Linked DNA regions of Xenopus tropicalis. The protein of the gene in region 1 purifies or fractionates together with the protein of each later gene. This does not show direct contact. Links are inferred from orthologs where the notes say so. Each region holds a gene or a part of one and is shown on either strand. Other genes may lie near its edges.

Region 1 (4,390 bases):
AGCAACACTTGCTGATGTCTTGAGTTTTATTAAGTGGAGATTAAAGGACATGTCAACCCAAACAATGTTTTTGCCTAATAAAAGAAAATATAATTCCATAATTCTAATTAACTTTGCAATATACATTAATTAAAATTTTGTAATGGTTTTTAAGTTACTAGTATATATAATTTCTGTTAAAAGCAGTTTTGTCCTTTTCTGTTCCCTGCCCTGGTGGCACTGGCGTTTGAAACAATGTAACACAAGGCACCGGATTGACAGACCTGACTTGCTGGAGGAGACTGGCTTTTGTAACATTGTTTAAAAAATCATAACCAGGAGTTCAGCAAATGCTGCTTTCAATAGCAATTACATTTACAAATAACTTTAGAAGAACTAATGGTTTTAATAAATTCATATTGGAAAGTTGCTCAAAATGATGCCTTGTTTTATTAGGCAAAAAATTATTTTTTGGGTTATGTCCTTTCAAAGGATACTATCATGATTTTTATGGTGTACTTTTTATTTCTAAATTACACTGTTTACATAGCAAATAATTCACTCTACCATTAAATTTTATTATTGAACCAACAAATGTATTTTTTAAGTTGTAATATTGGTGTGAAGGCGGCCATCTCAGTGCATTGTGCCTGAGTCTGAGCTTTCAGAAGGAGCCAGCGCTACACATTAGAACTGCTTTCAGCGGAACATTTTTCGGCTTCAACATGGTATTTGTGCATGCACATGACGCCATTTCTGGGAGCGCGTGCACATGCGCTAACGTCACTTCTGGGTATTGGGGAAGTTTTCATATCATTATTTAAAATAATATGAGCTCTGATCATAATGAAAGATTAATGAAGTGTGGCATAACTAGTATAGTTATTGGGCCCCACAACAAAACTATTTTTGGGCCCCCTACATTTTGGGAAATAAAACATCTATCATAAACATATATTGAAACTATTAATCAGTCAGTGGCCCTCATGGGATTCTTATTAGTTCTGGGTTCCCAACAAATAGCAGGGTCTGTGCTACACTATGTTTACAAAAACCGTGGAGGAAGGTCTGAGGAAAGGGTAGGACAGCATGTAGGCGTATTTGGGCGTGGTCAGAAACTACAACGTCTGGCACAAGGGGATACCAGCAGCTGCAAAATGATGTGTTCACTTTTACAAACAAGTTATTGTTAGACATCATTCTTGTAATACCCCAAAAGATGTGAAATCTACAAACTGCGTGTTTTGTGTTTTTTGAGCACAATAACATAAAGAGTAACAAGTAGTTTAACCCAATTGCTTACAAATGACCACGTCCTAAATGCGCAACAAAGTCAATCGCCTTAGCACTTCTTACATAAACACTATTTACAATTATTTTAATTCAGAATTACATTCTATTAGTTCACCGCGGAAAATCTACTTTGCGTTTTGTAAGATTTATTCCTCGTAGGTACCCGTAGATGTAGTTCTGCGCGGCTGTCGGTAGTTGTGGTGCGTCTCTGTAGTTTGCCAAAGTGATGTCGGAAGCTGCGGATCCCTGTGGATCAGAGGTTACTATGCACGACGTGGAGCTTTTGATCAGCAAGAAGGATGAGATCGAAGCCCAGATAAAGGCTTTATATGACCTTCTGCAAGATGTAAGTTGCTTCTTTAGCCCAGGGAATGGCTGTGTCATAAACATTATGCCCTCACTGCTTACACATGCTCACAGCAATACCAATAAACACAAGATTACAAAGCATTATGAAATAGTCATTTTATATTATGTTATAATATTCATTGACCCGCACAGGGGCATATCCATTTCTGCCTCTTTTCAGCTTTGTTTATTATTTTTGCCTCTGATTCTCTTATTTTTGGTAGTGGGGCCCAATCAACTAGTAGTTTTTAGTTTCAATCTCTGCTATATTGTTTGTAGTTTTTTATAGTGTTCAGTAGTCAGCGGGAAACCTGACAGGACTGGCTTCCACTAAAATAATAACTGAAATCTTTTATTTTTTTTAGCAAAAAGCAGTCGGCATGGACGAACCACTGGTTGACAGAGAAGGATACCCTAGAGCAGATGTGGATATTTACCAAGTTCGCACTGCAAGACATAATATCATCTGTAAGATCTTCAATATTAGAATTTTATAGAGGAGGGTTTCTCATACCAAAGCAATGTAAAGCTTTGGCATATACAGTATATTGATTTTGTAAATTTTTGAAGGCAGTTGAACTGAGCAGAACTTTCACTTGAAAGTGTACCTTTTTACATGAGTTGCAAATTCAGTTATTTATCCATACGGTGTGGTTAAATGGTGAGAAATCTGTATAATTATATCTATTCCATAAGTATCATATTAATGTGAAACTGGGTTTACTAACATATACTGCCTCCAGGTTTGCAGAATGATCATAAAGCCATTATGAAAGAGATAGAGGAATCTCTACATAGACTACATGCACGAGAGAAAGAGAAACGTGAGAAGGATGAAGCAGAGGCCCAGGCTGAAGCACTACAGAGTCACCAAGCACTGCCTACTGCTTTTGCTAAAGTAGATGTTGTTACCCCAGGCTCTCCTGCCAGCATGTCAGTAAGTAGTTGTTATGCTGTACTGATGAGACAAACATCATTGTTGTGTAGTTACCACCTTTTATAGTCCAATATATACCATATCATTTTACCTACAGATTTAATTTTAGATGTACCTTTTTATCTATGTATTGTAATGAACTATATGCAGTTCATATTAATAAGACAGGTCCCCAAAGCACCTAGTTGATTTCTTGGCTCTTTTTTATTGGCGCTTTCTAAATTCACTTGTATAGTTACAGCTAGTTGCATGGCCACAATAGCCACAATCCATATTGTACTCTGTAGAAATATTTGTCCACACATCACAGGATCACTTTCAAATCTACATAACAAATCAAGTTTCTTCATAATCTGCCTTCTTTTAAGTAACTTAAACACTGTGTAAATTGTCTGTTATAGACCTGTCTGATGTACACATCTCTGGTCAGACGCTAATAAAGCTGGCCATACACGCACCGATAATATCGTACAAAACCTCGTTTCTTGCGATATTCGGTGCGTGTGTGGCAACTCGGCGAGGCGACCGATATCGCAGAAGGCTGCGGGTTAAAAGATTTTGATCGGGCGCCATTGAAGGCACCTGAGCAAAATCTGCCTTCAGGGCTGAATCGACAGAAGGAGGTAGAAATCCTATTGTTTCTACCTCCATATCTGACGATTCGGCCCTGAGGGTTGGAAAGATCGAAAATCGCCATGTGTGTGGCCAGCTTTACAGTACACTATATGATGAAAAGCATTTGGACACAATGCATAGGCTAAAGTATCTTGACAACCCAACTAAAAAGACTCTGTAAAGTTTCACATTTTTTTGATGAAACATCAATCATTTTTATGGGCAAGCAGCTGCGTAGAACTCTAAGATCAGTATGCATGTTGCTGGAGTCATATAAAGATCACTAACAGTGATGAAATGTGCTTCACTATCTGGCAGTCAGACAAGTGTAATTTTGCTGTCCCAGGAAAATGCTACCTTTATGAATGGTTAATGCATATTTTTAACTTTGGTGGAGAAGTAACAATGGTCTGTATTTTTACCACATAAATAATTTATATATAAAAGAGCCCTGAATATTGTGGTTGTAATGTCATCACATATACAGTATATTAGCTTAGTGATATTAGTGATATTATTGCTTAGTGATGTAATGTGTGTCACATGACACATTTTATGATTATAGAACTCCTCTGCAACTTAAAATTTACAATAGGGTGTGCACTGTTCTCTGTATAATAACAGCCAAGGGATTCTTATCGAAACCTGAAATGAAAACAAAGTGCGGTCTTAAGCTGGCCATAGGCTGATAGATACGCTTGTAAGGCGAGGGACCAAATTAGGCTGATTAGGCTGGTCATTTGGCACCAGGCTCTATGGAGATCCAGCATAAGAGGTCTGTATTAACACACTACTGCGGTCCTTGCCCAACTTTATTTTAAAACCTGATCAATTTTTTCCCAGATATTAATCAGTAGGCCGCCTGGCAGACACCATTGTGGAAGGTCTGCGCCAGCACCTTTTATTGGCCTATGCTTGGGTAGCTTTAGTCCTTAGGCTGATGCCACACAGGACTGATTCTCAGCCTGTGGATAAACGCAGGCCAAGAATTTGGGCTCTGAAATGCAAACTTGTGTGTTTTTGGGCCAAAATCTGCTCCATGTGCCTGCACCCAGGTCAACACAATGGCCTCAGGTATAGACACAGGGAAAGAGTGATGTCAGCGTAGTGGCTAATTCTCAGGCTGTGTTTATCCACAGGCTAAAGGTGGCCACACACGTGGCGATCTGACGATGTTTCTGGTCGCACGAAACATCGTCAGATCCGCCACACACTGTT
Region 2 (3,659 bases), on another chromosome or scaffold:
ATGCAAAATGAAAGGAGCAGTTCAGGAATAAACTATAAACCTCTGAGCTGAAATGTAACTTGCATGTACAATGTTAATATAGGGCAGCTAAACGCCATGATTAGTCACGACTACTGAGTGCTGTGTGTCTTCGCCATAAATGGCATTCCATCAACTCAATAATTCCATTTACTTTTCAATCAACTGGCAAAATAGGCTTTTATTTTTAGTATTTTATATTTTCCAGCAAATGTTGTATTCTGTTAAAGGAACAGCACCAAAAATAATAAAATGTTTGAGTAGTTAAAATATAAAATACTGCTGTCCTTCTCTGGTTAAAGGTTTGCATTTGCTGCATAAAGACTGCTATAGTTTATGTGAATAAGCTGCTGTATAGCCACATGGGTAGCCAATCAAGCTGGTAAAAAGGAGAATAGGCACAAGTTACATAGCTGATAACAAATAGGCTCTGTAAAACACCATTGTATTCTACAGAGTTTATCTGTTATTTGCTATATAACCTGTGCCATTTAGCCTTATTTCAATTTGAATGGCTTCCACCCCCCCCACATGTAGCATTTATAGATACTTAGGTCCCTTTTAGTAAAAGTAAAAAATGGAACTAAGCCCTATCCTAAAGTCACATTCTACTTCTTGACTTGTAGAAGCACAATCAAAACAAATCTGTAGAAGCTTAGATAATTGAAATTTCTTCTATTTTCCAAGCTGATTTGTTTTGATTGTGCTTGTAGGGTTCAGGACGTAGAATGTGGCTTTAGTTTCAGTATAACATTTTGCCCTGTTTAGTGCAAGAAACAACAAAAACCATAGATATTTCTCATTAAATGAGGCAACATCTTTGTTCAACACAAGCTGTATTTGTTAAATCATTGATGAAAAAATGCTTATATTGCTCCTCCTAAATCTATAGCTTATGTAAGAAATGTCTCTTCCATGTAGATCCCTCAGTAGCTCTGAACTTCCTGGAGAAAACTCGCGAGAAGGTTTGTGATTATTTTTAATAATGATCTTGTATGTCCTTCAGCTGTAAATTGGTTTACATTATTTAATGATATATTTATAATAGGTATGGAGACTGATTTCTTGCCAAAGCCATGATCTGTCTGCTTTAATGGTTGTAGGTCAAAAGCAGCGATGAAGCAGTAATACTGTGCAGGACAGCCATCGGAGCCCTGAAACTCAACATTGGGGAGCTGCAGGCCACAAAGGTGCGTATAAAAATGCACAAAGGTGCATTATGTGGTTTTTGAAGGTACTAGATGGTCTATAAGTAGGACTGCACAATCAAAGAGCATAACAGTATAAGCAAGCAACAAGTAGGGGGTGACTTGCATAGGGGAGGGAGGGGAAGCAAAGCTTCCTGTTGCATTCTCCCTCGGTATTAAAAACCTTCTTCCATTATGATTCTATGAATTTCCCCTTACAGAATGAGAAAGGAAAACTCCTCATTACGTTTCAATGATCCCTCAGCTTTGACAGCGGTGCCGTCCAATATCCTAGATACAGTGAAACCTCAATTTTACATACCCTGTTTTAAATGTTTCCGTTTTTTCTGTATCCACGTCACTTTAGGCTGCACATCAATATTTCAGCCCCTGCTGTACCTCAAAACATTTCTGTGTAGTCACCCCCACATATATAGGCATGGTAGTATGATCAGCCTAATTCATTCCCTTCTTTTATTATGTTCTTTATACCCTCTTTTTTACCTTTGCTGTTCCTATCATTCCTTCCCTCACTTTCTCATTGTTCCATCCTTTCTGCTCTTATGTGTTTCTCTACCTTTTTACCCTTATTGCATCTCTGAAACTTTCTTGATCATTTTTATCCTCTTAATCTCACCCCTTTTGCCCATTTCACCCCTTCTCTTGTTTCTTTTTCTCCCGTTCTGCTCTAACCAGTTCATGCTCTTTCCTGTGCTTAATTTTCTTCTCTAATGACTCTCACCCCCTTCAGTTTCTCTTGCGCCCCAACATCCCCCAGTACATTTTTGCCCAGTTTTTTTGCAGCTCCCCTGGTGGTGCTATACAAGGTATCTGGATAGCTTAGCAGTGCAGTAGAAGACTACCTAAAACATTTTAACTTGCTTATGCATACTTTTATTTATGGCTGTATCTTACAGCCTGCCCAGTCCCTGCTCTGCTGCTCAGTTGATGGCATACAGCAATTGTAGCTTAGCAGTGTGGCAGGAAAAGAGCTTAACTTTAGCTTAGGTAATTTTCTGCAAAAGAAATGTGATAATTGGGCATGCAGTGGGATATTCAAGACATTGTATTTATTTTAAATGTGAGCTTCCACCTTTTAATTGCCAGTGATTAAATATTCTGCTTCCATCCTAGGCCATGGAGAGTTTTGTTGGGGGCAGTGCACTGTAGAGCACTGGCTTCTGTTCCGACATAAGTACATAATGACCGTAATCTGTGGAGACGCTGACTATTACTTGCTAACTCACCTCTAAATTTTTCCTTGGTTTTAGTGTCTCTTGTCATTTTTAACCTAGTTATTTACGGTGTGCTCAAAACAAAACCTTTATTATCCTGACCATTAAGCATGTCATATATGGTGACACTGGCGTAGGTTTTCTAGTTATACTCCCTTTTAGCACAGTTATTGTATGGCTGAAGGGCCCTTATTCTCATCTTGTCATCCTCAGGAAACTATTGAGGCAGTGGAAGAGATGTTGGGCGGACTCGCTGGTGTAACCTCTGTGCACAGCCGTTTCTATGACCTTTCCAGCAAGTATTATCAGACCATTGGCAATCACGCCTCTTACTACAAAGATGCATTGCGCTTTCTAGGTTGCACAGACCACAAAGAACTTTCTGGTAAGATACATATAGGCACTCATTTTTAATAATAAGAATGAGAAAGCTTAACCATGGGTAATAAAATGACTAAAATTATTTACATTGCCTGCAATGGCACAGCATTTTGTTTGTTTTGTTGCCCAAAACTACCCATGTGTAATTGCTTTAATAATTCCAAGTGACTTCTAAATGTCACCTTCTGCTATTTCCTTTAAGTGTCAGAACAGCAAGACAGAGCCTTTACCCTAGGGCTGGCAGGTCTGTTGGGAGATGGAGTCTACAACTTTGGAGAACTGGTAAATCACCTATTTCTTAAAGCAACATTATAGCTTTTGATTTGGCTCAAGATTTATATTTGCTGCATAAAGTATATAAACTATATACCTGTATTTGTTTTATGCATATATAGTACAATATATCGTTATAAGCTGATTTAGATTATGTCTACCACAAGAACGTAGATATTGTTTAGGTTACAGATTTTGTGGTATAGACAAAGGGTTCAAGATTAAACCTTTTTATGTCCTAGCTGATGCATCCAATCCTGGAATCTTTGCGCAACTCTGACCGGCAGTGGCTAATAGACACTCTTTACGCCTTCAATAGTGGCAATGTGGAGACATTCCGTGGGCTGAAAACTGCTTGGGGACAACAGGTATTTTTCCTGAAAAGAGGAAGACCGCTATTTTTTCCCTCCATTTATATCCACTTACTAGTCCTGAGACACTTTAATCTACTAAAGGGCAAGTAAAATAATAGTGATTGAGCCAATCAGTAAAAAAAGCTCACCAGCAACAAAGTGTGAGGTCTGAGTGCACGTGGCTCAGACCTAATAAGCCCTATTAGTATCTT

The links. Proteins that work in one complex are often made in the same cells at the same time.
Region 2: the proteins of psmd9 (region 1) and psmd13 fractionate together in Homo sapiens (co-fractionation; 3 studies listed by BioGRID and IntAct, with this or other methods). This does not show direct contact. The link is inferred for Xenopus tropicalis from reciprocal best matches to the Homo sapiens genes PSMD9 and PSMD13.

The regions. Positions count from the first base shown.
Region 1 is NC_030677.2:162,105,458-162,109,847, reverse strand, and holds the start of psmd9 (26S proteasome non-ATPase regulatory subunit 9), read left to right. Parts: upstream 1-1,460; 5' UTR 1,461-1,498; coding exon 1,499-1,618; intron 1,619-1,985; coding exon 1,986-2,088; intron 2,089-2,363; coding exon 2,364-2,557; intron 2,558-4,390. UniProt on the Homo sapiens protein: Acts as a chaperone during the assembly of the 26S proteasome, specifically of the base subcomplex of the PA700/19S regulatory complex (RC).
Region 2 is NC_030680.2:23,987,102-23,990,760, reverse strand, and holds part of psmd13 (26S proteasome non-ATPase regulatory subunit 13), read left to right. Parts: intron 1-939; coding exon 940-983; intron 984-1,121; coding exon 1,122-1,208; intron 1,209-2,653; coding exon 2,654-2,825; intron 2,826-3,023; coding exon 3,024-3,103; intron 3,104-3,336; coding exon 3,337-3,462; intron 3,463-3,659.